Linked DNA regions of Callithrix jacchus. The protein of the gene in region 2 interacts with the protein of the main gene of each other region in a pairwise test. Links are inferred from orthologs where the notes say so. Each region holds a gene or a part of one and is shown on either strand. Other genes may lie near its edges.

Region 1 (15,435 bases), about 110 Mb from region 2:
CTGCTTCAGAGGCCTAGTACCAGTCCAAGGAAAGGTCTCTGATGCCCATCAAGCATTGATTAATGCTTCAGCCAATAAGCACTCACTGATACCCATCTAAGCCCCTTGCAGGGACACATCAATCTGGACTCTACCCTCCTGATAAAACAGTCGGGGCAGAGACCAAAGCCAGTGATGGATGCTGCACTAGGGGTCTACAGTAGAGTGTGGGCATTGCCTCTGCCAGAGAAGCTGGCCAGCAAAGGAGTCTCTTTTTATATTTTTTATTTTTATTTTTTGAGACAGAGTTTTGCTCTTGTTACCCAGGCTGGGGTGCAATGGCGCGATCTCGGCTCACCGCAACCTCCGCCTCCTGGGTTCAAGCAATTCTCCTGCCTCAGCCTCCCAAGTAGCTGGGACTATAGGCATGCGCCACCATGCCCAGCTAATTTTTGTATTTTTAGTAGAGACAGGGTTTCACCATGTTGACCACGATGGTCTCAATCTCTTGACCTCGTGATCCACCCGCCTCGGCCTCCCAAAGTGCTGGGATTACAGGCGTGAGCCACTGCGCCCGGCCCTTAATTTTTTTTTTAAATGGAGTCTTACTTTGTCATCCAGGCTGGAGTGCAGTGGCGTGATCTCAGCCCACTGCAACCTCCACCTCCAGGGTTCAAGCTATTATCCTGCCTTAGCCTCTGGAGTAGCTGGGACTACAGGCACCAGCCACCATGCCCGGCTAATTTTTTGTATTTTTAGTAGAGATGGGGCTTCACCATGTTGGCCAGGCTGGTCTCCAACTCCTGACCTCAAGTGATCCACCTCCCTCGGCCTTCCAAAGTGCTGGGATTACAGATGTGAGCCACCATATCTGGCCAGAAGGGGGATCTCTTGAGCTGGGTTAAGAAGATGGATAAAGAAAAGGGCATATGTTCTGTTCCAAACAAACGGAGCTGTCTGGGCAGACGAGCAGAAGCAGGAGCTGCAGTGGGTATTCAGGGAGTGGTCAAATACAGCTGAGTGCAGAGATCCTTGAGAGGACAGATAAGAGATAAAGCTGGGCAGAAAGCTGGCAAGACTGTCAAGGATGTTGAGGGTGGGAAGAGTCCAGCTTTGGAGGGCAGCTTGGCAGAAAGATGCCTATCACCCCAGTATAGCCCTGTGATGCCTTTGCAGGAGGACGTCTGGCTGGCTCTCAGGGGTGTGGCTGCCATGGAAGCATGCCCTGCCCGCCCCCACACTGTGATGAGTGCCAGGCCTTCTAGGCAGAGATGGAGGTGCCCTCTGCATAGCCAGGAATTGACACCCTAGACTAGCGCAGGATCTAGCCAAGGAGAATTCCCACACAGGAGCAGAGGGCCGGAGGGGAGCAGTGTAGGGGATGTGGGTTCACAGAGCTGCCTGTCTGCCTCTCTGGGACTTGGGCTTCTGGTGTGGCTGTGACTGGGTGGGTGTCAGGGCTTTGGCCAATTCTGTGTCTCTATCTTCCATACCATATCTGAAAGACGGCACAGCATCAACTCAAAGAACCTCACATTAAGTGGGCTTTTCTCCCTTTAAAAAATGTGATGGGCCTGGTGCAGCAGCTCACGCCTGTAATCCCAGCACTCTGGGAGGCCAAAGCAGCAAGATCGCTTAAGCTCGGGAGTTTGAGACCAGCTGGGGCAACATAGCAATACCTTGTCTCTACAAAAAATTAGCCAGGTGTAGTAGTGCACACCTATAGTCCCAGGTACTTGGGAGGCTGAGACAGGAGGATCAGCTCCTTCAGCTCAGGAAGTCAAGGCTGCAGTGGGCCATGATTGTGCCACTGCCCTCTAGCTTGGGTGACAGAGTGAGCCCATCTCAAAAAGAAAAAAAAGTGATGAATATCTCTATATATAACACTTACTTAATTATCTCCTGAGGATCAATTACAGGAGAGACTGCGCAGTCAAAGAGTTTGCTTAACTTTTTTTTTCTTTTTTTTGAGACAGAGTCTCGTTCTGATGCCCAAGCTAGAGTACAGTGGTGTGATCTTGGCTCACTGCAACCTCTGCCTCCCGGGTTCAAGCGATTCTCCTGCCTCAGCCTCCTGAGTAGCTGGAACTACAGGCGTGTACCACCACGCCCGGCTAATTTTTGTATTTTTAATAGAGACAGGGTTTGACCATATTGGCCAGGTTGGTCTCAAACTCTTGACCTCAAGTGATCCACCCGCCTCAGCCTCCCAAAGTGCTGGGATTACAAGTGTGAGCTACCACACCAGGCCGTGTTTGCTTAACTTTAAAGCTCTTGATATCCAAAGCCTAAATGTCTTCCAGAAACATATTACTTTTATAATCAGAGAAAAAAATGAATCCACAATAATTACAACTCAAGTAAAATGTCATACCCCCAACAAGAACTCGTCTTCCAGTTTCAGTGCCCCAGTGCAAACCTATTCTTTCCCAGCTCAGTGCATGGGCCTGCTCCTCACACAGTGGTCCAACTCCTGACCTCAGGTGACCCGCCCGCCTCAGCCTCCCAAAGTGCTGGGATTACAGGCATAAGCCACCGTGTCCAGCCCAGCTAATTTCTTTTGTATTTTTAGTAGAGATGGAGTTTCACCATCTTGGCCAGACTGGTCTCAAACTCCTGACCTCAGGTGATCTGCCCGTCTCAGCTTCCCAAGGTGCTGGGATTACAGGTGTGACCCACGATGCCTGGCCAAAGCTGTGTCCTTTGTGACTCTACCTTCATCCTGACCCCACATGCCGTCCATCCATCCCCAGCACTCCCCAAGGCAGCCATCCCCTGCAGAGACTGTAAGAGCCTCCTCCAAAAGCCTCCCTCCCCACCACTCACCATCATTGCTTTCAGTCTGCACAGTAGCTAGAGTGATCTTTCTAAAACTACAGCCTCACCACATACAGCTCACCTGCCTGATACCTTCAGGGATGCCGGCTGCTCTCGAGATAAGGTTGCCATCTCCAGCTGGCTCTACTAGGCCCTCTTCTCCCCATCACACTACACAGGTTGCCACAGTCTCCTCAGCTCCCCTCCCTGGCAGCCAGCACTCCTCTGTGTTCCCATCTGCCCAGCCCGCTGGCAGGATGGGAGCTTCTCACCTGCGGTTTGATGTTCACCTTCTCCACAGCATTCTCGTTGAGCCACTTGACGTCGATCTCCACATCAAAGTGTCCGATGTTACACACGATGGCATCATCCTTCATTTGCTCAAAGTGCCTGTCAGGCAGCCCGAGATCATGGGAGATTGTCAGGGACAAAGAGCAGTCCCAACCCTGCCCTCCTCCCTCACTCCCCAGGACCTCCAAGGGGCACTGACCGGCCAAGGATGATGTCAACACAGCCTGTGGTGGTGACGAAGATATTGCCCTCCTGACAGGCCTCATCCATGGTGGTCACCTCATAGCCTGTGCAGAGACAGTGGCTGAGGGTCATCTACAGCACCCGTGCCCTTCCCTCCGGCCGCAGTGGCTGACAACCAACACTTGCCCTATCCTACCCTCCATGGCGGCCTGCAGTGCATTGATGGGGTCAATCTCGGTGATGATGACGCGGGCCCCGAAACCCCTCAGGGCCTGGGCACAGCCCTTGCCCACATCGCCATAGCCTGCTACCACTGCTACCTTGCCGGCAATCATCACGTCTGTGGCCCGCTTGATGCCATCTATGAGGGACTCCCGGCAGCCATAGAGGTTGTCAAACTTGCTCTGAAAGGAGAGGGAGTAAGGAGACGATGGGGGCCTGCAAGGCCCTGGGGCCAGGACCACTTGACCTCAGAATACTCGGAAGAGCCCAGGCATCGTGCACCCACTGAGCATCCCGGCCTGGGTGGAAACCCTCTAGCAGCCAATACCTCCACACACCCTTCACCCCAATCGGCTCCAAGACGTCTCTCTAATCCTTCTCTACTGGTTTGGAGCCTTCCTAGGGATCAGTTACCAGGAGAGACTGCCTGGTCAAATACTTTGCTTAAGTTGAAAGCTCTTTTTCCCAAAGCCATAAAGCTCCTAACACCCAGCACTGAGACCTCCATCTAAATGCCTTCATTAGCCTTGATCTATAACCACTTTTTTGCCCCCTCAAATGAGGGCCTCATGTCCCTAGCCTCAGCCTTCCTGGACGCTCTTCTTCACAGGCCTCGCATGGAGCTGCAGCCACTGCAGTGGGAGCTGTCACTGCCCCCAGCTCACCTTGGTGACGGAGTCGTTGACGTTGATGGCGGGCACCTTCAGGACCCCAGTGGCCATCATCTTGTAGAGGTTGTGGACCCCGGTCGTGGTCTCCTCAGAGATGCCTCGGATGCCTAAACAAGAGGGAAGAGGACAAGCCTCAGAGACACCTCACCTGAGCGCACACAAATTCCTCATCTTTGCCCCCTAAAGTCATTCCTCTTTCTGGGTTCCCATCTCTGTGACTGATCCCACAGGCCCCCCAGTCACCCAGACCAGCATGAGCAAGGAGTCCCCGACGCCCTCCTAGGGAAAGCCACCGCCAGACTTAGTGACTCTGCCTCCCAACAACTCCCAGCTTCTCCATTCTCACTGCTGCTGCGCTAGGCCCTGACCCTGTCTCCTGCCACGGCATATTCTCCATGCAGCAGCCATGTCTAACATGTGTCTTCTCAGAGAAATCTTCTGAATGCCCTCCAATTATTTCCCGTTGCGCTGAGAATCAAATGCTTTTCTATTGGCCTATTAGGACTGAATACATCTGGCCTTCATGAAAGCTCACACCATATCCCATAATACCCCCCAGTGAAGGCTCCCTTTGTTCACTGCTATCCTGCGGGCCTCTATTCTGTTTCCTGAACATTCTAGCTTTTTCTGCATCCAGGCCTCTGTACTCCCTGTACTCCCCGTACCTGCTTTGAACAAAGCTGGCTCCCTCTCAGCTATTCCCAGCCATGGCCCTGTGTCTGCCCTTGGGCTGTCAGCTCAGCCACCCTTGCCTCGCACTCTGAAGTCAGGAAGCCCCAGCATGAATCCCAGGGCCTGCCATCCTTCCATCTTCTAGATCCTGCTGCTTGAGGCGCTGGGAGTCCTGCCAGGCCTGCGGCCATCATGTGGGCAAGCAGGTCCCATCCAGTACCCAGCCCACCTGCCCCACCCTGCTCACCCGGCAGAAGCTGTGGGTACTTGGTGTGGATGAGGTTAGTGAGGTCGCCTCCATCATCCAGAATCATGTTGAGGGGCCCGTCCTTGAAGTACAGCGTCTGCTCAATGCACCACAGGTACTCCTCATCCGTTTCGCCCTTCCAGGCATACACTGGAGGGTGAATGGCATATTAGGGCTTGGACTTCCCCAGTCTGTACCTGCTCCCGGGAACAACCCTGGCAGAGCCAAAACTACCTCCTTCCCAATTCCCATCCTCAGCCACCTCTGGCCCCTCTGGGGACTCAGCAGTGATAAGAATACAACTTGGAGCCACATAGATCTGGGTTCAAATCCTGGCTCTGCCACTTGCCAGCTGTGTGACCTTGGGCAAATCACTTCACCTCTCTGAGCCTCAGTTTTCTCCTCTATAAATAGGGCTTAAAACAGTATGGATTAAGTGAGACGGAAGCCATGTATAGCCCCCCAGATGTAGATATCAGGAAATAATTATTTCCTTTCCCATCCCCTTCTGCCTGGGCCCCAAGGACTAGGGCATCAACCCTGAGTGACCAGGCCTCCATGCCCCACAATGCCTCCCCCTCAGCTGGATCCCCAAGGCAGGATCCAGGGTTTGCTCTGCACTGAAAGGATTGTAGCACCAGCAGCCTCTGGGATGGGAGGAGTCTCAGGCAAAGTTTGGCCAAAAAATGACTAAGCGCCGCTACCATTTATGGGGCACTTGCTTTCTGCCAGACATGACTCTAAATCCTTCATGCCCCATCTCGCTTATCCTCACACAGACCCTGTGAGGCAGCCAGGACCATTATCACACTTACAGATGCCCAGAGAGGGGCTGAGACGCACTTGGGCCACTCCACATGAAATTCCAGAACAGACACCGGAACTAAGGGGCACTAAGGACTGGGTGGCCAGTCCACACTCCTCCCATGTGACGTGACTAGGGCACAGGTGTGGGGTTCCCAGGAGCCCCTTGTGAGCAAAGGACGCTGGCCAAGCAGAGCCAGCCTCTCCTGCGCAACTGGAGCAGACAATGGTCTTAAAAATTGCAGTGAGCTGAGATCACACTGCTACACTACAGCCTGGGCAAAGGAGCAAGACTCCATCTCAAAACAAAAAAAAAAAAGAAAAGGAAAAACAAAAAGAAAACAAGGCCTTTCCCAGAAGAAAGCCATGGTGAGGAACGGGGATCATGCCTATTCAGCCCTGGTCAGTCTGGGAAGGAGCCCTGTCCCACCCTCTCCTCTCTACCTATGGTCGGTTAGAAGAAATCTTGACTGTCCTCTTTAATCACTGCGTGAGATTAACCACTCCCTCCCTAAGTCCAAGCAGACATGTGCCCAGCCTGTGAAAACTCCTTTCTCATTAGTCTTAGTCCTTCCTCAGTCCTTCAACCGCCATACCCTAAGCAGTGAATCTTTTTCTGCCCTGTAGCCCTCCCCAGTTCTTTAGAAACAGATCCACACCCTTCCTTTAATGAACTTCCCTTCCTCTACATCATGTAATTCCCAATAATAAGATCTTGCCCTTCCTGGTCACATGGCTTGAGTTGGGTCAAAAAACAACTTCCACAGGATTTTAGATGAGGATGGGACAAAGCAGCTCTTTCCTATGGGTGGCTGGGTAGGATTTTGTGGCCGTGACTCCTCTCCCCTGCTGTAGGCTAAGGAAGCCTGTCGCTGTAGCAGTCAGTGAAGCAACAGAGCAGCCCCTTCATAAACCCCACACGTCCCAGCAGTAAGCAGGACTCACCTGGAATGCCAGCCTTGGCGATGGCAGCTGCCGCATGGTCCTGCGTGGAGAATATGTTGCAGCTGGACCACCGCACCTAGAAAGAGCCGTCAGAACAAGGCTGTTGGTCACTGATGGTTCAAAAGCACCAGGAACGCTGGGCAAGGAAAAGGGAGAGCTCTGCAGGTAGGCGGACAGGCTTGGGATCTAGGCACAGCAAGCTCTAGGATCACAGGCTGGGGACACTGGGTGGGTAGATGGGGGCCAGAGCAGTGACGACATCCGACTCAGGTTTTGTTTTTTTATTTTGGGGGGTTTTGGGACAGAGTTTCATTCTTGTTGCCCAGGCTAGAGTGCAATGCGTGATCTCATCTCACTGCAACCTCCAGCTCCAGGGTTTAAGCAATTCTCCTGCCTCAGCCTCCCTAGTAGCTGGGATTACAGGCATGCCCCACCACGCCTGGCTAATTTTTTGTATTTTTAGTAGAGATGGGGTTTCACCGTGTTAGCCAGGATGGTCTTGATCTCCTGACTTCACCATCCACCCACCTTGGCCTCCCAAAGTGCTAGGATTACAGGTGTGAGACACTGCGCCCAGCCCTGACTCAAGTTTTTATGGTGGTGCTGTGTGGAAGGGAAAGGGCGGAAACAAGGGGACAGCTGAAGAGACTGTTGGAGAAGACTCCAGGCAAGAAATATGACAGTAGCAGTAGCAGTGAAGGTGATGAGAAGCTGTTCCATCCTGGGTCTACTCTGAAGGCTGCACTGGCAGGATTTGCTAAGGGATGAATTGTTGAAGTAAAAGGGGTTGGGAGCGGGGAGGAAAGGGTGGGGAAGAGATGATTCCCAGATTCTTGAACTGAGGGAACCTAGAAGGCTGGAGTGAAAATTCCATTTATTCACATAGGGAAGCCTTTGGGAAGAGGAGGGGCAGACAATCCTGAGTCTGTTTGAACGTGTGCTGCCTGAGGTGAGTACTAGACCGCCAGGTAGTGTCAACACCCCCACTCCTGGATATGCCAGTCCCGAGCTCCAGGAGAAGTCCAGGCTAGTACAAAAATATGGGAGTCAAAACCAGATAGACAGTATCTAAAGCTCTGCAATCAGACCAAGAGTGAATGCTGAAAGGAAAGGTCCAAGGACTGAGCCCTGAGTCCCTCTGTGGGTTTTGGCTGCAATGCCCTTCCCTGCTTTGGGAAACCAGCTTGCTTCTTTACTCTCTGAGACCTTAGGAGACATGTCAATCATTGGCACACATGACCTGGGCTGAAAATCAGAGCTGCCATCATCCCGGCAGCCATGATGGGCCAGGGCAGGTCTGTGACCCCCAGGAGGGCCAAGGCAAGCAAGCCCTTATAGGACTAAATGGGACACGGGAGTTGAGTTCTTCCTGCCAGAGCATCAAGCATGAGGATGCCTTGAGGGCAGCCAACAATTATCTTCCAGCCAGGAAGAAAATGTGCACAACACCCACCACAAAGGATGGCAAGAACTCTGGGGTGATACAGCTGTGGGCCTCACCTCAGCACCCAGGGCGACCAGGGTCTCAATGAGGACGGCCGTCTCCACCGTCATGTGCAGGCAGCCGGCGATGCGGGCGCCCATCAGCGGCTTGGAAGTCGAGTACCGCTCACGCATGCGCATCAGGCCCGGCATCTCGTTCTCCGCAATGTTCAGGGCCTTGCGTCCCCAGTCAGCCAGGCCGATGTCAGCTACCGAGGGAAACAGGTGGGAGTTGGGTAAGCCTCCTCGGCCGTCACTGTGTGGACCCCGGTCCACTTGTGGACTCAATACACTAGGGCTTAGCACTCTGTCACCGCATTCTCTAAATCATTCAACAAGTATTTATGAATCCAGAGGACTCAAGAAAGACAAGGTCCCTGCCTCCCTGCACCTTTCTGACTTGTGGGAAAACACATGTAATCAATCACACAGGGACACAAAAATGACAACACAAAGCAAACAGCTCAGATGATACTGCCCACTACCCTCCTTTCTGCTGACAGCCACCAACCTCCAGGTCACTCCTCACTCCCTAAATAGGTTAGCTGCTGGGTCTCCATCTTCCTCTCTGTCATCACTCTCGGTGATTCAACACTTATAAATACTATCTAACACCTTGGATTTGACAGTTCCTTGATCTCCTTTTAGATGTGAAAATGCTTCCCCACTCCTGATGTTTCTTTCCACCTGGAGGAACTCACCGGGTATAACTAACACTCTTGGCCTCTCTGCCCCAGTGGGGGTGGGGTGAGCTTGTCTGACCAGTAAAACTGAGAGGAATAAATGGTGTGCTCAGTTTAGCCCTCTCTTCTTTTTGCAAGCAAGTACCCACCTGCCCACCTGCAGGAAGCCGCTGTTCTCTGCTTTTCCAGAGATCAACCTACCCTGGCCCACCCTGCCTGCAACTAACTGGTTGGGTAACTGCTGAATCTGGGAGTTCAGTCAGCAGAATCATTTGGATTTCATACTAATCTACATTCTCTGGCCTTGAGGTTATTAGAAATAAAAGGTGTATTTTGGGTGCTGTCTGCCACCTAAAATGTCTCAAATTTGTTCAAATATCAGGCAGTAAAGAAGGGTACTATTATGAGCTAACTCACTGTCTCAATTCTCTTCCCTCTGTTCATCTCACCTTCCTCTCTCCCCTACCACATTCCAAGGTCACACCCAACCTAGGTTGGTCCCTAGATCAAAGTTTGCAGACTTCCCTAATAAGGGATGTTCCTTTGGCATACTTGTAAATCTCCCCTGGAAAATTGGATTCAGCAGGTCTAAGACTCACGATGATTTTTATCTTTAGGGAAGCTTAGATTCTGCCAATCACCCAAAGAGGTAGACGATGAGAGGCAAAGGACTCTGTAGAGAATTTAATAATCAATAAAACTGTCTAAGTCAGTCAGCTGCCTACAGTGCATTGAAACAATTTCAGAGATGAAACACGCCTCTCCCATGAGAGAACACTCCTGTTGTGCCTCAACTCAAGCCCTTCTCTATACCACCCTGCCCCAGGCCTCCTACCCTGGTAGGCCATCACCAATGATAGCACTCCTTGGAAATCTGGACTAAAGCACCCAACTCTAGCCACATCTCCTCTTTCCAGTTTTCTCCCTCTAGAGCCCCAGCTCCAACAAGGCTGTGGCCTGTCAGGTCAGAACTTCTATTCCACTCATCCTACCAATTTCTACTGTCCCTTCTGCCTTCTGCCCTCTTTCCCTTTGAGAACTCACTTGGCAAAACTCTCAGCCCAATTAAACCTGACCCTCCACTGCACTGGAGCCACTGAACCCAGCAGGAGGGCAATCACAACCACACCAAGATATCACATTGATTCATTCATTCATTTATAGAAGTCTGGCTCCACAGCCCAGGCTGGAGTGTAGTGGTACAATCTCGATTCACTGCAACCTCCACCTCCTGGGTCCCAGTTCAGGCAATTCTCCTGCCTCAGCCTCCCTAGCTGGGATTACGGGAACTCGCCACCATGCTTGGCTAGTTTTTGTATTTTTAGTAGAGACGGGGTTTCACCTTGTTGGTCAGACTGGTCTCGAACTCCTGACCTTGTGATCTGCCCACCTCAGCCTCCAAAAAGTGCTGGGATTACAGGTGTGAGCCACTGTGCCTGGCCAAGACATCACATTTATTAAAACCCTAAAAGACACGGCCCGGAATGGTGGCCCAGGCTTGTAATCCCAGCACTTTTTGGAGGCTGAGGAGAGCAGCACGAGGTCAGGAGTTTGAGACCAGTCTGACCAACAAGGGGAAATCCCATCTCTACTAAAAATACAAAAACTAGCCAAGCGTGGTGACACGCACCTGCAATCCCAGCTACTTGTAATCCCACTTACTTTTCCTCCTTCCAGAAACCCTTTCTTTACTTGGCTTCTGCTACTCTGTCCTCCTGTGCTTTTCCACCTACCTTCCTGGTTCCTCTGCAGATAACAGACTCTAATATTAGTTTGGGAGCCCTCAGGGCTCCATCATCTCCTGCTTCTCTAATGCTTACCAATTAAGCTCATCCAGTCTTACAGCCTTACATGCCTTCTCTGCAGCGTTCCCACGTACTTACCTTCAGTCCAAACCACTCCCCTGAACTTGAGACTCAATTTGATCCAACTGCTTCTACAGCACCTCCACCTGGATGTCCAACTGGACTTTTTCGTGTCATGCTTGAGCCCTCATGACTCCTTGCCCTGCTACTCCTTCTCTCCCAATCTTCCCATTTTAGGAAATAAAACCACCATTCAACCAGCTACTCTGGCCAATAACTTAAGATTTGATTCCTCTTTTCCTCTTCCACCTCAATTAGCACGTTTTTGGCTCAACAAGCAAAATATATAAGCAATCCAACTGCATCTCACCACCTTCATCCAAACTGTCACTTCTTAGGCCAGTCATGGTGGATGACACCTGTAATCCCAGCACTTTGGAAGGCCAAGGCAAGCAATCACTTGAGGTCAGGAGTTCGAGACCAGCCTGGCCAACGTGCTGAAACCCCATCTCTACCAAAAATACAAAAAAACTAGCCAGGCATGGTGGCTCGCACCTGTAATCCCAGCTACTTGGGAGGCAGAGGCAGGAGAATCGCTTGAACCCAGGAGGCAGAGGTTGTTGCGGTGAATGGAGATCGAGCCACTACACTCCAGCCTGAATGACAGAGCAAAACTCCGTCTCAAAAAAAAAAAAAGAAAAGAAAACAAACAGAGAATGCACCAGGATGACTCAAATAGAGGGGGTAAGATGAGTCGGGACTTCAGTCCCAGCAAAGTAGGGAGCCTACAGTTTTTAGGGAGCCAGCATTCAGAGACCAGGTTTGTCTTTTGAAAAGACCCCACTGGCTGCTGCGTGGATCTCTGCAGCAAGAGATCCAGGGATGTCCGCAAGGAGACAGACCAGAACTGGGTGACTATGGAGACAGAGGGGTGCCAGCTCTGCTCACACAAGATGGAGGCCGCGCTACTTCATCTGTATGTATGCCTGTGCCACCCCTATCCTCGGGTCACCTATGTGTTTCCAGCACGGCCTCACGCTGCAGACACAACTGTTTACTGATCATGTGTCCTCAGAACTGAATGAAAGACCCATGAGAGGGGCTGGCACGTGACAGGGGTGGCAAAGACAAACAACATAAATCTGAACCTAGTCCAAGTCCCAGCATTTACTAATGAGGAAGGAACTCAGACTGCAGAGAGGAGTCTGCCACAGGTTCCATAGCCAATTAGTGACCGAAGCATAACTGGCAGCCAGGTAGGGCTAGAGCAGAGGCCCCTCTCAAGGCCTTCCTGGGAGGGGCCAGGCTATATGGGAAAATGGGTTATGCCCTGTGCTGCTATGCTCCACCCCTCCACCACTACATGTCCCTCCAGCTAAAAATAGCTCCTTCAGTGCCCTCAAGGACATTGTGCCAGCCCCACAGTTTTCTGTGGGACCCTCAACTCCAAGGGCACAGGAGAGGCTAGATGCTCCAATCTCTGGAGCTAAGGACTTGCAGAAGTCACAGGAACAACTGTCCCCAGGAGAAGCCAAGAGGAACAGCAAGAACCCCTCCAAACATCAGTTTCTTCATCTGTAAAATGAGGATAATCATCCCTAGCTTACCATGTGCCCTAAGTAAAGAAGATGCCATATGATCAAGATCTGGCACACAGCAGGGCCTCCTTCCTCCAGCCTCATCCTGCTAAGCTCCCCCTCTCCCAAATCCAGCTTTATCTCCATCTACACAACCCAGTGCCCCCAATCCTGACCCACTAATCTCTCCACAGTATGACAAGCCCTATTCCAGCTCTACTACTATGACCTTGACATAACCTTTCTGGGTTCAGTTTCATCATCCACACAATGGAGACAGTCTACTCTTGTAGCAACTTAAACTATTTCAACAGAATCTTTGCAAGTCATTTCCCAAGGGTCTGTTTCAAGCTCTATATAACGGGATAGCGTCCACCTCTATGAAGATTATTCTGTAAATACATATAAATCACCGGATATACAGCAAGTGTCCCATAAATGTGGATGCCATTCTCCAGACTTAATAGTGGTTGTGTGTGTGTGTGTGTGTGTGTGTGTGTGTGTTTTGTTGTTGGTTTTGTTTTTGAGATGGAATCTTGCTCTGTCACCCAGGCTGGAGTGCAGTGGCATCTCTGCTCACTGTAACCTCCACCTCCTGGGTTCAAGCGATTCTCCTGCCTCAGCCTCCTGATTAGCTGCAGTTATAGGCATGCGCCACCACACCTGGCTAATTTTGTTATTTTTTAATAGAGATGGAGTTTCACCATGTTGGTCAGGCTGGTCTCACACTCCTGACCTCAGATAATCCGCCCGCCTCAGCCTCCTGGCTGGAGTGCAGTGGGGCAATCTCTGCTCACTGCAACCTCCGTCTCCCACGTTCAAACGATTCTCCTGCCTCAGCCTTCCGAGTAGCTGGGATTGCAGGCACCTGCCACCACACCCAGCTAATTTTTGCATTTTTAGTAGACAGGATTTCGAGACCACCACATTGGCCAGGCTGGTCTCGAACTCTTGATCTCAAGGTGGCCCACCTCCACCTCCCCAAAGTGCTGGGATTACAGGTGTTAGCCACCACACCCGGTCTAATTGTGTCAAAGTTACTTGAATAGCTACTAGCCAGACTTAACTGGTATTTGCTGAAAAGTCAGGATTGTTCCGCGTGTATTCGCTTGCACAGCGGTGAAAAGGGTGGTGCGCTCACAGGTCTAGATGGCCTGCGTTCCAATCTTGCTCCATCACCACCAGCTGTAAGACTGGGCAAGTTACCTCTGTCTCAGGATTCTCATCATAAAACGATAACAGTCTCCCTAGAGAGCCATGAAAATAGAATAAAACTAGAAGGCAGTGCCGAACCCACAGGAAACGCTAAGTAAACGTTAAGTATCCCTGGATCACACTTCACTCGGTGGGACAGCAGGATTTTTCTAACCACTCCTGCTGGCGGGGTGGGAGATCCCACAGGTTGGGTAACTGGCCCAAAGTCCCCGGGGAGAGGACCGGAGCCGGCCTGGGGCTCGCTTTCCAGGCCTCTCCTCATACACGCTCCGAAGCTCCAGCGCCCTCGCCATCCCTGTAGGAGGCCCGGGGCGGCGGGGGGGAACCCTCGTCGGGGCCTCCCAGCTGGACAGGGTCCGGTCCAGGCACAGGAGGCAGGGCGCAGGCCCCCTGAGCAGAGTCCGGCAGGTGTCCGCCGTTCCAGGCCGCAGCCAGGTGTGCTCTCCTTTGGAGCACGGCGCCAGTTTGCGGCTCACAGCCCGCGCCGCCACCCCCGACGTCGCGGGGCACGCTGGGACTCGTAGTCCGCGGCCACCCGGGAAGGTCAGCTTACGGCCGCGCGAGAACTCCAACTTCCAGGTGGCTTGGCGCGGCTAGAAATTCGCCGAGCCTGCGATTTCAGGGGGTCCAGAGCGCCCGGAGTCGGCCCTGCGGTCCCCGCCCCGAACATGCGCCGGGTGGGCGCCGAGCAGCGGCAGCCGGCTGCAGGTCCTAGGACTCACCGACTTTGTAGGGCAGTTTGTCAGACATGCTGGCGTCGCTGGTGACGGGCACGGGCGAAGTGGGCTGGGCCTCAGTCAGAGGAGAGGCTCTGGACGGGCGACGCGGGGCAGGGATATGCGTGTGGCGCCGGCTCCTTTAAATATCTCCCTGGTACTTGCATATTCATGATACGCTGGGGCGGGGCCCAACGCGCAGGGTGGGGCCAGAGGATTTCGATCCCTGCAGGGAAGCCTCAGAATTTCACAAGGCCTGGCCCCAGGGACCTCACGTACCGGTTCGGAAGGGAGCGCCAGGAGAGGCCTGAGACCCAGCTGGGCCGTCCTCTTGCAGGTTCAGCCAGTTAATTCAATGTCAGAACCAAGCGGAACTGAAATTCCGCTAGTTCACTTCCCTGTGCCTCAATTTCCTAATCTGTAAAATGGGCCGAATTTTTACAGATTAGGAAAATCTACCTACCACACAGATTATTATAGGTAAAGTTGCAGGTCAGGTGCGATGGCTCTCACCTGTAATCCCAGGACTTTGGGAGGCCAAGGCGGGAGGATCACTTGAGCCCAGGAGTTCAAGACCAGTCTGGGCAACATAGGAAGACTTCACCTCTACAAAAAAAAATTCTTTTAAATTAGGCGAGCGTTGGGGTGCTTACCTGTAGTCCCAGCTACTTGGGACGCTGAGGTTGAGGGAGGATGGCTTAAGTCTGGAGATCAAAGCTGCAGTGAGCTATGATCCTGCCACTGGACTCCAGCCTGGGCAACAGAGCAAGACCCTGTCTAAAAACAAAAACAAAATAAAGTTGCCATTTGTCAGGTACCTACGTGACATCCCAAACATTCACCTTACCCCAAGTAACTACCACCCTAAATTTAGGTAAGTTTGCATGCATTTCTTATACTTTCACTGCATATGTATGTCATTAAACAATTCTTTCTGTGTTTAATACCTTTATATATCAACCGTGTTTACCCTTCTGCAATTTGCTTTTCTCTGTGAGCATTATATTCCTGAGAGTCATGCATATAGCTTGAATATATTCATTTCTCTGCTGCGTATTGTTCAGTCATCCCTAGGCATTGGAAGCAGGGATTGGTTTCAGGACACTGTGGACTCCAAAACCCTTCT
Region 2 (16,100 bases):
GACAGAAGAAAACAGGGAGCGGCTCTGACTCGCTGGTGGCTGACAAACAGGACCCGGTTTTGTGCTTTCTGGTGTTCTGAGTATGGCAGAGGGGGCAGACACATCACCATTCTGAACTAGTGCCAAAGAAGTATGGTCCCCGGGAAAGGCCTCTAACAGGGGAGGTTCCCCAGGGGGAAGGAGTGGAGGTGAGCCATTTGTAGGAGGTGATGCAGGAGGTGTGGAGGGGCCCCCATTCTGCATCTGGGCTGAGTCCTCTGCTGTGGGTGTGTAGATAAAAGGGAAGGCTGGGTTAGCCAAATAGTTGGGAATAAAGGGCAGTTCCGACTCCTTCTTCAGCTGGGGAAGGTTGTCATCATCGTCATCATCTTCTTCCACTTAAAAAGAAGAAAACAGAACATTTACACAGCCCTTTCAAAATTATCAAAAGAAAGGGGTCTTTTGGAAGTAGTGTCTTTTGGTATGTGACAAGTATTTTGGTCAGTGTTTATCGCCTCTTGAGGTCAGAAGAAAAAAATATTTCATTAGGTTTATGATTATCATTTTTCTCATTATCTTAAATTTTACAAATAATTAAAAAAACCTTACAATGCTGACCTCCCCAGAAACAACCTGGAATTACTATCTTGGCACAGTAATTTGCTTTTAGAAATAGAACAATTGCTTGACCAGCATTAAGAATGCAGCCAATAGGCCCAGCGCGGTGGCTCACGCCTATAATCCCAGCACTTTGGGAGGCCAAGGCAGGTGGATCACAAGGTCAAGAGATCGAGACCATCCTGGTCGAGGTGAAACCCCATCTCTACTAAAAATACAAAAATTAGCTGGGCATGGTGGTGCACGCCTGTAGTCCCAGCTACTCGGGAGGCTGAGGCAGGAGAATTGCTTGAACCCAGGAGGCGGAGGTTGCGGTGAGCCGAGATCGTGCCATTGCACTCCAGTCTGGGTAACAACAGCGAAACTCCGTCTCAAAAAAAAAGAATGCAGCCAATAATATCACAAGTCTTAAATAAGTCTGACGAAATCAAAAGCTCCCCCAAAACAGACTCACCTCCCATAATCTTCCTGATTTCTCTCCTTGACGTTAACTGAACCGGCATTTCTCCTTTTGTGGTAAGAATTTCTTTGTCAGCTCCTGATTTTAGCAGGTAAGAGACTACCTGACCATGGTTGCGTTTGCATGCCCAATGTAAACAAGTCCTGTCCCAAAGAAAAGAATGATTTAAAAAGAGGAGAGGTGATTTGGGATTTCACATTCGAAACATTAGTAAATAACATATATAAGCCTGTTAAGAGTTCAGCTAGAACCAGGTAACCGGGCTGGTAATCTCAACTTTTCAGAAAGCAGATGATCAAAATATTTAATATGCTTATATTTTGTTTTTAAATTTCATTTCTGGCCCCTGAGAAAAACTAACTTATCCTAGGAGTTTTCATTTCAATGGCCTCCAGAAGGGAAGCTCACTGGCTGGCTAACTCCAGTGATACTGTGGAGTATTACTCTATCAATATCGCTCATTAGATCATCTCAGTCTCTTTGAAACACATTTTTATATTGCTATATTCCTTTTCAGGGACTATGGAAACTCACTTCATATGCCACCTGAAGGTTCAATATGATCAGGCTAATAACCATCTCCCATCTGCAGCTTGCTCTGTCACTTAAGTTATTATTACGACAGCAGATATTCCTGTCTGAATCCCAGTTGCTCACTTTCTTTTTCCTCCTTTTCTTTACTTAACACACACAAAAGATTTCCAAATTTCCATTTTTAAAAAGCCGGCTTCTCTAGTTCTCTCCAGAAGGCTACAAACATATCCTCATCTGCGTAAACATAAGGCACTGCACAGATACTTTAATTCCTAAGGTACTTAAAAACATACATCAACAACCAAAATTCTTCAACAGGCTCTAATATATCAAACTCATTTAAGTAAAACTAATCACTCAATATTGTACACAGAGGAAGCAATTCTGCACACACTGAAGGGCTACTATTTTAATACTGCACAGAAACATAATTAGCACGCCAGCAAAAACTCCATCTTCACAGAAATGAAAGATTCAGAGCGACTAAATCCATCCCTAGGTGCCAAAGCTGAATGCATATTATGGAATGAAAATACTTTTCCCCCTGTGTTTTGAAATGTCTTCTTTTACCAAATCTATAATTGAACTGAGATAAATATCTTCAGAGCTCTTACAGCCAAATACAGAAATGAAGATTAGAACATATGTTCAGTAGTGAAGGTTAGGTCACTAACCTGGGAAGTATAATTATCTGGAAAGTTTATATGGGTCCAGGAAAAAGCTGATTTGCTTACTTACTAATGGCTTAACATTAGCAACTTCCAGAAAGTTAGCAGGTCTGGCTGGCTGGGAGTAATTCCATTAATGTCTCAGAGTGACATTCTACACTATGGTTCATTAGAATTAGATTATCCAGGTTCCTTTAAGGTGTACTCCATGATGCAATGACACAATTATTGCTAATTTGGGAAAAATAAGAATATTTTTAAGTTTGGGAGAGAAGAGTCTTCCTGAAGGCAAGGATGTATTTGCTTGGCACATATACATGCTTAATATTTCCTGAACGGGCCAGGCACAGTGGCTCATGCCTGTAATCCCAACACTTTGGGAGGCCAAGGCAGGTGGATAACTTGAGGTCAGGAGTTCGAGACCAGCCTGGCCGACAGGGTGAAACCTGTCTCTACTAATAATACAAAAATTAGCGTGATGGTGCACATCTGTAATTCCAGCTAATTAGGAGGCTAAGGCAGGAGAACTGCTTGAACCCAGGAGGCAGAGGTTACAGTGAGCTGAGATTGCACCACTGCACTCCAGCCTAGGCAACAGAGCAAGACTCCATCTCAAAAAAAAAAAAATTACTGCATAAGTAAACTAAGGATAAGGTGGACCTTGCTTGAAGTAGAAGAATCCAATCTATCTTTGATTCTGGGCAAACTGCAACTGAGAGTGTTTGTGTGTGGATGTCTGTCGCACAGGCTTAAAAAGTAAACAATTAAAATGGTTGAAGGAGGATGAATGAAGCAGGATGCGAAAAATATGCTCCCTTTTGGAAATAAAATGCCCACTTGGTAGTAGTAGATCACTTGGTCATGGCTTGAGAGTAAAGGAAGTAATTTACTGCCAGTGGGTCTGAGAGACTCTGGGACAAACCAACTTGCTAAACTATCACCATGTAAAGCACTGGTAAGTCACCATGGCATGGCCCCCACAGCCCTGTACCTTAGTGATCATCATTTACAATCCAGAGCTCTGTGACTCTGGGCAGCCATAACTCAGAGCCGCAGCAGCCAGGTAATATTTTCAAGTTCTTCATGAAGCATTATCCTTGGTCCTTAAAATCAAGGGTCATATATGACACTTGATTTACAACTGATGTGGCAGAATGATTAGTAATCAATCTAATTGATAAATTACTCTATCTTTGAACTTCAACTCCTTAAGCTTTACATTTGCAGTCAGAATATCTTATTAGTGTCGGAAACTATTTCAGACCTGAGGCACTGGGTGTCATTCATCAACTGGGCATCACTGCTTGGTGCTGAAATTATGGTTACTGAGCAACTGAGAATTGAAAGCAGTCACCATTCTGCTTTTCAATGCAAGAGTGTAAGTTTTTTGGAAGTAACCTTATATTCCATTACCCAGCACATTGCTTCATAATAACAACAATAGCTAACACAGGTATAATGCTTTACATGTTGGACACTGTTCTAAAGGCATTACATGTATTAACTAATTTAATCCTCTAAACAACCCATGAAGTAAATACTATATTCAGCATTTCCCCCATTTTACAGAAGAGGAAACAGTTATCAGCAAATAAATAAGCAAAACATGCAGTACGCTAGGTGATGAAGTGTGACAGCGACAGTAAAGCAGGGAAAGGCGTTAGGGAATGCGAGAGGTTGGAGAAGGGCATTGTGCAATTTTAAACTGAAGGGCCAGGAAAAGCCTTGCCAAGAAGGTGACATCTAAACTAAAATCTAAAGGCCATGAGGGAGCAAACCATGTGACATCTGGAGGGAAAGCATTTAGGAGAGTAAGAAGATAAAATGCAAACATCTTGAAGCAGGACTGTGTCTCGTATTCCTGGGAAAGCAAGGAGCCCAGGGGAAAAAGGTAAGCAGAAGGGCAAATCCCATGAGATGAGCACACAGGTAAGGAGGGAAGATGTGGGGACAGGGAGTACAAATTGTAGGACCTTGTAGGCTTCTACTGAGTGATACAGGAGCCATTTTTGAGCAGAGTGAAATGATCTGACTTATGTTTTAAGTCAGGATCCCTCTGGCCATTGTGTTAATTAAGAAGACTACGATATAAGCTTAGGAGCAAGGAGACTAGTTAGAAGGCTACTGCAATAATTGAGGTGACAAACAATGGTGGCTTTGAACCAGAGCTGTAGTAAGAAGTAATCAGATTCTGACTGTATCTGAAGGTGGAACTCACAGCATTGGCTGACTGGATATCAGCTATGAAAGACAGAAGGCAAGCAGAGCGCCAAGGGTTCTGGCCTGAGTACCCCTGAGAGGCTGAAGAGGACTCAGGAGCACACTTGAGGTGGTAGAGGGATGAGGGGAAACTTGGAATTCAATCTTGGACATGTTGAGTTTGAGGAGCCTATTAGACACTTCCCCCAATTAAATCTATAAGAGGCCGAGGCAGTGGCTCATGCTTATAATCCCAGCACTTTGGGAGGCCAAGGTGGGCAGATCACCAGAGGTAAGGAGTTCGAGACCAGGCTGGCTAACATGGTGAAACCCCGTTTCTACTAAAAATACAAAAAATTAGCCAGGCATGGTGGTGCACGGCTCTAATTCCAGCTACTCGAGAGGCTGACGCAGAACTGCTTGAACCTGGGAGGTGGAGGTTGCTGTAAGCTGAGATTGTACCATTGCACTCCAGCTTGGGCAACAAGAGCAAAACTGTCTCAAAAAAATAAAAATAAATACACACACACACACGAAGCCTCTTCAGGCTACCTCAGCTTCACATTATATTTACGAAACACCTGCTATGGGGCAGACATTGTGTTTAGGAGGGTAGAGTCTGGAGTCAGATGCCAGGTTCTTTTTCTGGCTCCACTAGTTACTGTCAATCCTATGATCTTGAGAAGGAGCATTGTGCAAAGTGAAGAAATGACTTAATCTTTCTGGGCCTCAGTTTTTTCATCTGTAAATGGAGAGAACAGTAACTATGTCCCCAAGCAGTTGTGAACGAGCTAACACACGTACATCACTTAGAACACCATCTCTGCTACAAAGCAAGTTCAATAAATGTTAGCTATTTATTTTATGTTTCATCTCATTAAATGCTGACAACACTCTTCTGGAATAAGTAGAAAATGAAGCAACTTGGGCAAAGCCTCATAGCTAGGCAGGAATGGAGAAGAACCTGCAGGGAAGACTAGGCTCCTTCTACACAACACTGCCTCCCAGTGCCAAAATGGTAATTCACAGCTTTGAACCAGAGCAATGCACAGAAAAGGTACATACACAACAGCAAGTCTGCAAAGACCTGGAAACTGTAAACAGAAAAGCTTGTATCCACTGTTTCCTGGCTTTCTGGACAGCTGTCCAGGCTGTTTTCTTTAGGAAAATTAGGTAGACAGATTTTTTTTTTTTTTTGGAGACTGTGGTCTTGCTATGTTCCCCAGACTGGTCTCAAACTTCTGGGCTCCAGTGATCCTCCTGTCTTAGCCTCCCAAAGTGCTGGGATAACAGGCGTGAGTCACCAGGTCCCACCAGGTAGACAGACTTTTTTTTTTTTTTTGAGACAGAGTCTTGCTCTGTCGCCAGACTGGAGTGCAGTGGCGAGATCTTGCCTCACTCCAAGCTCCAACTCCTGGGTTCAAAGTGGTTCTCCTGCCTCAGCCTCCCAAGTAGCTGGGATTACAGGCACATGCCACCACACCCAGCTAATTTTTGTATTTTTAGTAGATTTGGGGTATCACCACCTTGGCTAGGATAGTCTCCATCTCCTGATCTTGTGATCCACCTGCCTCAGTCTCCCAAAGTGCTGGGATTACAGGCAAGAGCCACCACACTCCGCTCAGGTAGATAAGACTTTTGAGAGAGTTTTGTTCTGGTTCTGTCATATTAATAGGGATGTCACCTAGGGCAAGTTATTCTCTGGGATTGAGCTTATCTGCACTGTTCCTTTCAGTTCCAAAATGGATGATTCCACTTAAAAAAAAAAAAAGTAAACTCACTTTAAGTTAGCAAAATAGTCTGGCTAAGCATTACTTGAATCAAATAAAATTTTAACTTTTAAATGCAGAGTGTGGAATAATACCACACTCAGTAAGTTTTGACCACCAACAATATCTTATAATGAGACTCCTTATTTAACTGGGGAGAATTCAATCTGCAGGCAGACATCTAAAGCCTTGGATGACATGTTGTATTTGAAATTGTAACAAGAAGAGGCTGGGTATGGTAAGCTCACACGTGTAATCCCAGCACTCTGGGAGGTCAAGGTGGGCGGATCACTTGAGTCCAGGAGTTTGAGACCAACCTGGCCCCATCCCTACTAAAATTACAACAACAAAAAAAAAATTAGCTGGTGGCACTCGCCAGTATTCCCAGCTACTTGGGAGGCTGAGGCAGGAGGATCACCTGAGCCGGGGAGGTGGAAGTTGCAGTGAGCCAAGATTGTTCCACTGCACTCCAACCTAGGCGACAGAGCAAGACCCTGTCTCAAAAAAAAAAAAAAAAAAGAGAAGAAAAAGAAAGAAAGCAAAATACTTAATAGGATAAACAAATGAGCCTTCCCTCAAACAGGCAACTGTAGGCAGCAGCAGCAAATCGGTTGGACTGAAACAATGGAGAAGCAGAATGGTGATGCAAATGTTTCTTTTTTTTCCCTGGTCTTGGCTAAGGAAATCGTGCTAGTTTATAAAATTCGTATATGCTCAGTTGCTTATGCTTTTAGCTCTGCAAGATGTGTTCTTCGGAAGCACCTACGGCAAATTAACTCAACACTCAAATTGGGGTGAGCTCCAGCGCACAGTAGCTGAGAATCATAGCCTCCAGCACTGCTCTGACTAAGTGACCCAGGGGGCCAGGGGGAAGCGGGTAGGGCGACAGGGTCCCAGTGGGCGCTGCTCCGAGTGGACCACGTGGGCCGGGATTTGGGCAGGACGCGCTCCTGACCGCACGAGGCATGGGGGCCAGGGCTGGCCTCAAGAGGGCACAATCTCGGAGGCCCGAGGTGGCAGGTGTCGCCATAGCCCGGCGTCCAGAGGCAGCGCTGGGCCCAGGTCGCGGCTGACTGCCCCACGCCTCGGACCGGCTGCCCTGACGCTAGGCCTCCCCCGCTCCCCACTTACCAGCCGTTGACCTCATTTTGGGAGTTCACATCCACCCCGCTTTCCACCAGTTTCTGCACCTCCCGAATGTCCCCTAAGGCCGCGGCCTCCCGCAGCCTCTCCTGCTGCTCCTTCTGCTCTAGGAGGGCGCTCATCTTTCCCTCGGCCCCAGGCCCCCGCCCGGGCCCGCCTGCCCCGCCCCGCCCGGGGCCTATCAGCGCCGCCGCCGTCGCCGCGGTCCGCTCCCGGCCATGGGGAGGGAGCGCGGAGCTCGCCCGCCCAGTTCGCGCCGCCGCCCGCGCCCGTCCAGGGACTTCCGCTCCCTCCCGCTGGCCGCCCCTGCTGCTCCGGGCCTGCAGGCCTAGACCTCCTCCCCGGCCGCACCTCCCGAAGGCCGGCTCCGGGGGACCCTATTCAGTGTGACAACCCTGACCCAGATATTTTCCGTTCCGACCCCGGGCCCCGGCGCCCGGGCTGGCTGTTTATGTAACTACTGCACAATATTATCTGCCGTGACTCACTGGCTATTTTTAGACCTCCCCATCCCGCAGTTTCAAGGGAGGAGGACAGACACATGAAAAGAGAAAAAAGCGTAGTTGAGAGCCCGAAAAGCCTTATCCTCTGGTGCAGGTTGTTTGCCAGGCATCCAAAATAATTGGTGGGTTCTTTTTGATGGGATGTGGGGGGTTTTTGTTGTTCTTTTTTCCCTCGTTTGGTTGGCTACTTTTCCTTATCTGAGTCGATTCTTGCCCAGCAGCATGGGGAAATGAGCTTAAAACGATCCTACTATAATACGCCCATTATTACAGAGATAGATTACACTGTTCTTTCTTCTTTTTGACAGTGCTTGGGGACAATTCAGTTCGAATATTTATTTCAATTGTTGTTTTACATCTCATTTTAGGCAGGGTTTCTCCTAACCTGGCTTTCAGGAAAAATATTTTTATTGTGCTCACAGTTTATGATCTGTAATTACTGCTTACAGATTGTAATCAGTTACTCTTCCTGAAGGCCATATAAGGAAAATGAAAGGAAAAACACCAAAGAGGCTTTGGAGGTGTCCTGGTCCTGATTCCAAGTGCTCACGGAAGAGCTGATGTGTACATGTAAACAACATTTTGCCTGACTTCTTGCCCAATCTATCTAATGAGGCTCAGAGCCTCAGTTGGCACTGTTTTATACCCAGTGGGAGAAAAAGGAAATCTTGTTTTGCTGGGTCCAGGTGGCCCGAAGAGATGCTCCAATGTAGCACAGGATGGAACTTTGCAGATGGGGTCAGGATTAAGGAAATAGCCCTGGGGTGGAAGGGAAGAAGGCCTGGACAAAGAGATGAAATAGGAAGGGATAAATTTAGGCATGGAGTTTTCATTTCTGTCTCTTGGAGCTGCTAGGATCTGCACAGCAAGCATTTTTCTTGCTACAGTTTAAGAAAAACCAATGTCTATTTAGTATATTCAGTAATTCACACAGTACGCAGTGCACAGCAGGTGGTGATGAATATAAACTGACTACATACTTAAATTGACCCCCAAGGCAAATTGTAACCCTGCTTGAGCTCGCATTTGTTCCCCCAATTTAAATTTTAATTCTTACATCCAACATGATACTCCAACTGAAGCTGATGTGTATGGCACTGGAATTGAGCCCTTCACAATTTGAGTGACGTGGGAGTAGGCAGTGGCTTGTTTGTTTGTTTGTTGAGACGGAGTCTCACTCTGTTGCCCAGGCTGGAGTACAGTGGTGCGATCTCCACCTGCAACCTCCGCCTCCCAGGTTCAAGCAAGTCTCCTGCCTCAGCCTCCCGACCAGCTGGGATTACAGGCATGTGCCACTACGCCCGGCTAATCTTTGTATTTTTAGTAGAGACGAGATATCACCATGTTGGCCAGGCTGGTCTTGAACTCCTGACCTCACGTGATCTGCTAGCCTTGGCCTCCCAAAGTGCTGGAATTACAGGTGTGAGTTATTGCACCAGCCTGTTTTTGCTGTTTTTTGTTTTAATGCAGATAAAAAAAATTGTTAATCCCAGCACTCTGGGAGGCCAAGGTGGGCGGATCACCTGAGGTCAGGAGTTTGAGACCAACCTGACCAACATGGAGAAACCCCATCTCTACTAAAAATACAAAAAGTGGCTGGGCAAGAGTGGCACGTGCCTGTAATCCCAGCTACTTGGGAGGCTGAGGCAAGAGAATTGCTTGAACCCAGGAGGCGGAGGTTTCAGTAAGCTGAGATCGCACCATTGCACTCTAGCCTGGGCAACAAGAGCAAGACACCATCTCAAAAAAAAAAAAAAAAGAAAGAAGTTGTTCCTGACTGCACCCCATGGTCTCTGAGTTCTCTTTATGAGGTTGTCAACTTCCTTGAAAGGATTATACGTCCTTTCCTTAAAAGGATTATAGTGCATACCCTACATAACTGTTGTACCCATGAATATTAGTAGATCTTCTTAAATTCAACCTCTACTTACTCTGATTTCAATCTTCTGTTTATTATCTTCAGATAAAAAAAAAAAAAAAAACTTTATCCACAAACGAAACCTCTGATCCTTGATATAACCGAATGTAACCTGCTGGCTGTTCTATTACTACTTCCATTTATCTCTCCTTTGTCTTGTCTCTAGGGTACTACCTAACTCACTGAACATATTAAGCATGTACTGTTAGCCAGTCACTGTTCTAGTCACTGATGTTGCTACTTCGAATGAATCACAGTTCTTGATTTCAAAGAACAGTTTATCAGAGGAGACAAGGCAAACAATATAACATGCAATGCATTACAATAGAAACAATGTGGCATAGTAGTAGTTAGCACGGGAGATGGATGACAGACTGCCTGAGTTTGTATGCCAGCTTTGCCACTCATATAATCTTGGATGAATTACTCAACTTTCCATGCCTTGAATTCTGCATCTGCGAAATAGGAATAATAGTAGCACCCACCTTGCAGGATTGTTCTATGGATTGAATGAATGGATGTGTGCAAAGCCTAGACATCTTAAACATTCATTGGATCATAGGTGGGTTACTACAAGGTTTACATTAGAGAAACTTAACCTGGCAGAATGGGAGGGCGGTGGTGATCAAGAAACAAGGATAACATTCAGGTTTCTGGCTGATTAGATGGTAGTGAGATTTAATTTTTTTTTTCTTTCTTCTTTTTTTTTTTTTTTAAATAGAGATGGGGTGTCACCATGTTGGCCAGGCTGGTCTCGAACTCCTGACCTCAGGTGATCCACCCATCTCTGCTTCCCAAAATGCTGGGATTGCAGGCGTGAGCCACCGTGCCCAGCCTGGTGGTGCGATTTATTGAGATTTGGGACAAAGGACGAAGAGAAGGTTTGAGGTTTGGTCATGAATTCACTTTTGAATCTGTTGACTTGAGCTTTCTGAGGCCCTTTTAATTACTACTACTCTTTACTATCTGCTACTCTCAATTCATTGCCAGGCACTGCAGGAAGTGCTGTATGCGAATTATCTCATTTAATCCTCACAACAACTCCTCGGTAAGACAGGACCATCATTATTATGTGAGGCTCAGAGAGGTAATTAACTTGCCCCAATGCTGGCCAGGCATGGTGTCTCACACTTAGTAATCCCAGCACTTTGGGAGGCTGAGGCAGGTGGATCACCTGAGGTCAGGAGCTCAAGACCAGCCTAGTCAACATGGAGAAACACCATCTCTGCTAAAAATACAAAAATTAGCTGGGTGTGATGGCGGGTGCTGACTCAGGAGGCTGAGTCAGGGGAATTGCTTGATCCCAGGAGGTGTAGGTTGCAGTGAGCCAAGATCACGCCATTGCACTCTAGTCTGGGCAACAGAATGAGACCCTATCTCAAAAAAAAAAAAAAAAAGGCTGGGCATGATGACTCATGACTCAGCATTTTGGGAGGCCAAAGCAGGTGGATCACCTGAGGTCCTGAGTTTGAGACCAGCCTGACCAATGCAGAGAAACCCCATCTCTACTAAAAATACAAAATTAGCTGAGCGTGTTGGCGCATGCCTGTAATCCCAGCTTCTTGAGAGGCTCAGACAGCAGAGTTGCTTGAACCTAGAAGGCGGAGGTTCATGAACTGAGATCATGGCATTGTACTCCAGCCTGGGCAACAAGAGTGAAACTCCATCTCAAAACAAACAAACAAACAAACAAAAATTTGCCCAATGCTATATATATTGTAGTTTGTGATGGAGCAAGTTTGAACTCAAGTTCAACTGCTGAGCCTGTGCTTTCTTTTCTGAATTTCATTTAAATGGAGATGTCCAGTAAATAGTTATGTCCATGGGTATTGCATTTAGAAAGGAGATCTGGGCTGGTGAATTGCATTTTTGCAGTCAGCAAAAGGTGCTAGCTGAAGTCATGGGAATAGAAAAGAGATCCCCAAGAGAGTCTGTGAGTGCTGAGCGAAGACTGCTGCCAGGCATGGTGGCTCACGCTTGTAATCCCAGCACTTTGGGAAGCCAAGGTGGGTGGATCACCTGAGGTCAGGAGTTCGAGACCAGCCTGACCAATATGGTGAAACCATACCTCTAACTAAAAATACAAAAATTATATGGGTGTGGTGGTGTACCCATTATAATTATAGCTATAATCCCAGCTAGTCAGTAGGCGGAGGCAGGAGAATCACTGGAACCTGGGAGGTAGAGGTTGCAGTGAGTTGAGATCATGCCACTGTACTCCAGCCTAGGCAACAGAGCAAGACTGTATCAAAAAGAGAGAGAGAAGACAGCCAGCCATGGTGGTTTGTTCCTGTTAATCCCAGCTACTCAAGAAGCTGAGGCAGAAGGATCCCTTGAGCCCAGGAGTTCCAGACTAGCCTGGACAACATAGCGAGACCCTGTCTTAAAATAAGTAAGTAAATAATATTTAAAAAGAAGACCGCCAAAGGCTGAAGAAGACAGATGGTTCCAAACTTATGATGGTTCCAGTTAGGATTTTTTACTTTACAATGGTGCAAAAGTGATACACATTCAGTAGAAACCTTACTTCAAGTACCCAAATGACTATTCTGTTTCATTTGCAGTACGGTATTCAATACATTATAAGAGATATTCAACACTTTATTATAAAATGGGCTTCGTGTTAGATGATTTTGCCCAACTGGAGGCTAATGTAAGTGTTCTCGGCACATTTGAGGCTAGACTAAGTTACGACGTTTGATAGGCATATTCACACGCTATAAAAATGACTGGGCACAGTGGCTCATGCCTGTAATCCCAGCACTTTGAGACGCCAAGGCCAGGAATTCGGGACTAGCCTGGCCAACATGGAGAAAACCTGTCTCTACTAAAAAATACAAAAATTATGCATTGGAACCAAATTGTTTTCTGTGTGCAAACAAAAAAAAAAAAAAAGAAAAGTAAAAAAATACAAAACTTAGCTGGGTGTGGCGGTGCAAGCCTATAATTCTAGCTACTCTTGGGAGGTTGAGGCACAAGAATCACTTAAACCTGGGAGGCAAAGGTTGCAATGAGCCTAGACTGTGCCACTGCACTCCAGCCTGGGTGACAGAGCAAGACTTTGTCTAAAAAAAAAAAAAAAAAAAAAAAGAACTACCCAAGACTCGGTAATTTATAAAGAGGTTTAATTGGCTCACAGTTCCACATTGCTGGGGATGCCTCAGAAAACCTACAATCTTGGCAAAGGCAAAGAAGAAGCAAGCACCTCCTTCACAGGGTGGCAGGAGAGAGATCGAGAGAGCGAAGGGGAAGTGCCACAGTTTTAAACTATCAGATGTCGTGAGAACTCACTCACTATCCCAAGAACAGCATGGGGAAAACCGCTCCCATAACCAATCACCTCCCAGCAGGTTCATCCCTGGACACCTTGGGATTCCAATTTGAGATGAGATTTGGGTAGAGACACAGCGCCAAACCGTATCCATAGGCTAGGTATATTAAATGCATTTTTGTTTGTTTGTTTGTTTTGAGGCAGAGTTTCGCTCTTGTTACCCAGGCTGGAGTGCAATGGCACGATCTCGGCTCACCGCAACCTCCGCCTCCTGGATTCAAGCAATTCTCCTGCCTCAGCCTCCCGAGTAGCTGGGACTACAGGTGTGTGCCACCATGCCCAACTAATTTTTGTATTTTTAGTAGAGATGGGGTTTCACCTTGTTGACCAGGATGGTCTCTATCTCTTGACCTCATGATCTACCCGCCTCGGCCTCCCAAAGTGCTGGGATTATAGGCATGAGCCACTGCGCCTGGCCATTAAATGCATTTTCAACCTATGATGGATGTATTGGGATGTAACCCCTTTTTAAGTTGAGGAGCATCTGTAGTCAACATTTTAATGATGGACAGAAGAGAAGAAATTCTCAAACAAGACTAAAGAGGAGCACTATTCACAGAAGAGCAGGAGGAAAAGCAAAGGAGTGGGAGGGTTTGGAGACCAGGGAATGATCCACAGGGTCAAGTGCTGCAGAAAGGGCAAGAAAGGGCTGAAACACAGAAAATGGGTTTAACCATAATGAGCTTGCTGGTGCCGTCGGAGAAGAAAGTTGCAGTGAAACTATGCACTGGGGTAGACCCCAGACTTTCATAGTGCATTTGGGCCGCTATAACAAAATACCACAACCTGGTTGGCTTATAAACAACTGAAATTTATTTCTCACAATTCTGGAAGCTGAAATTCCAAGATCAGGGTGCCAGCGTGGTCAGGTTCTGTCGAGGGCCCTCTTCTGGGTTGCAGACTGCCAGCTTTTCACTTTTTCCTCACATGGCATGGCAGAAGGGGCAAAGGAGCTCTCTCGGGCCTCATTTATGAATGGCACTAATCCCATTCCTAAGGTCTCTGCCTTCATGATCTAATCACATCCCAAAGGTCCTGCCTCTTAATATCATCACCTTGGAGGTTAGAATTTCAACATAGGAATTTTTTTTTTTTTTGAGACAGGATCTTGTTCTGTCACCCAGGGTGGTGTGCAGTGGCGAGATTATGGCTCAGTGCAACCTCTGCCTCTTGGGTTCAAGCAATCCACCCACCTCAGCCTCCCAAAGTGTTGGGATTACAAGTGTGAGCCCACACCCAGCCCAACATATGAACTTTGAGGACACAAACATTCAGACGTAAGCACATTATTATAATGAGGTTAGGAGTGACCATGAGCTACCTCCTACATGTTATATGCTGTGCTAGAATCTGAGAATACAAAGATGAATAAGAAATGGCACCTGATCTAAAAAAAAAAAAAAAAAAAAACCCTTTCATTCTAAGGGAAGAGATTAATATTTGCAATATTGTGTGACAAACCCAAAAATGTGCGAGGACACTTAAGGTGAAACTATGGTACAAAGAAGAGGGTGATCGGTGTGTAGCAGGTGGAGGGCCAGGATCCAGGTTGGCATTGTAGAGCTGCTGAAACCCGGGCTGTAAGCTGAAAAACGAGTAGGGCTCATGTCTCTAACCCCTGCTGCTCAGGAGGCCGAGGCAGGAGTGAGCCTCCGTCTCTAAAAAAAAAGATGAGTAGGCCAGGCACAGTGGCTCATGCCTGTAATCCTAGCACCTTGGGAGGCCAAGGTGGGCAGATCACCTGAGGTCAGGAGTTCAAGACCAGCCTGGCTGACATGGTGAAACCCCATCTCTACTAAAAATACAAAAATTAGCCAGTCATGATGGTGGGTGCCTGTAATCCCAGCTACTCGGGAGGCTGAGACAGGAGAATTGCTTGAATCCAGGAGGTGGAGGTTGCAGTGAGCCAAGATCTCACCACTGCAGTCCAGCCTGGATAGCTGAGCGAGACTCTGTCTTCAAAAAAAAAAAAAGATGAGTAGATGTTGCTTGCTACTGGAGTGGGGGAAGAGCATGCCATGCCTGGAGCAACATACATGGTGAAATGCAGGAAGCAAGGGTCTACTGAGTACTGGTGTAGCAGGAGCGGCAGCGGGAAAGAATCTCTCGGACACCGAATACAGGAAGAAGGAACTTATTTCAGCTGGGAGCAAGGTGGCATAGGTGCCTAACAGCCAAGCTTGTTTAACAAAGGGAGGTTTAGCCTCTATATAGGCTTATACTTTAGATGTTACACGTGGAAGAATTTTAGGTTCATAGTTTTAGGACTCACATGTGAAAAGGTCTCTGTTTACAGTTTCAGGAATCACATATGAAAGGGTTCCAGTTTACAGTTTTAGGACTCACATGTGAAAAGGTTTCTGGTTTGATTTTGTTTTAAGTAAAAATAGTGCCTTCTGGAGAGTTTCCCCAAGGCCTAGCCTGTTGTTTTCAGGAAGGATATTCAGGAGGCGCCAGCTGGCCTGCTCTCTCTTTTATTGAGATGCACAGTGGATGACAGAGGGGGAGGAAATCCCAAATGCCTGGGTCTCCCTCCTCACTGGAAGCAGTAGCAGATGAAGGTGGAGAAAGCAGGTCAGAGCATGGACCACCTTGTGGTGATTGAATCTTAGAGTGGAGATAATGGGGAGCCATACGCTCTAACATTGGAGACTTTTTTTTTCCTGGGGATAGGTTCTCACTTTATCACCCAGGCTGGAATGCAGTTGTAAGGCCGGTTGCCTCACCAGGAGCTCGAACACATCCACCTATCTCTGTGCCCGGAACCTACTTCACATCTCTGCACCCAGAACCTATCTCAGGAGCACATGCTCTCCAGGAAGGATCCGGTTAATGTAACCCAAGCCGGATCTTGCGTTAGGGAAATCCCGCCCAACAATCTACCTACCAATAGCAGCTTGCCCTGTCTATGTCCCACTCCCCCATAACCAATCGGAGCATGCTGCTCCTCCTTGCTCGCTATAGCTATAAAAACCCTA

Evidence for each region.
Region 1: the proteins of ANKRD40 (region 2) and AHCY interact in binary tests that used the Homo sapiens proteins (3 or more experiments, as listed by UniProt). The two-hybrid records come from large-scale screens. The link is inferred for Callithrix jacchus from reciprocal best matches to the Homo sapiens genes ANKRD40 and AHCY.

The regions. Positions count from the first base shown.
Region 1 is NC_133506.1:4,994,528-5,009,962, reverse strand, and holds the start of AHCY (adenosylhomocysteinase), read right to left. Parts: upstream 14,429-15,435; 5' UTR 14,344-14,428; coding exon 14,316-14,343; intron 14,092-14,315; exon of another isoform or gene 13,446-14,091; intron 9,954-13,445; exon of another isoform or gene 9,943-9,953; intron 8,523-9,942; coding exon 8,332-8,522; intron 6,908-8,331; coding exon 6,832-6,907; intron 5,233-6,831; coding exon 5,083-5,232; intron 4,659-5,082; exon of another isoform or gene 4,271-4,658; coding exon 4,158-4,270; exon of another isoform or gene 4,103-4,157; intron 3,675-4,102; coding exon 3,467-3,674; intron 3,375-3,466; coding exon 3,287-3,374; intron 3,187-3,286; coding exon 3,069-3,186; intron 1-3,068. UniProt on the Homo sapiens protein: Catalyzes the hydrolysis of S-adenosyl-L-homocysteine to form adenosine and homocysteine. Binds copper ions.
Region 2 is NC_133506.1:115,634,915-115,651,014, reverse strand, and holds the start of ANKRD40 (ankyrin repeat domain-containing protein 40), read right to left. Parts: upstream 7,754-16,100; 5' UTR 7,493-7,753; coding exon 7,359-7,492; intron 1,201-7,358; coding exon 1,052-1,200; intron 378-1,051; coding exon 1-377.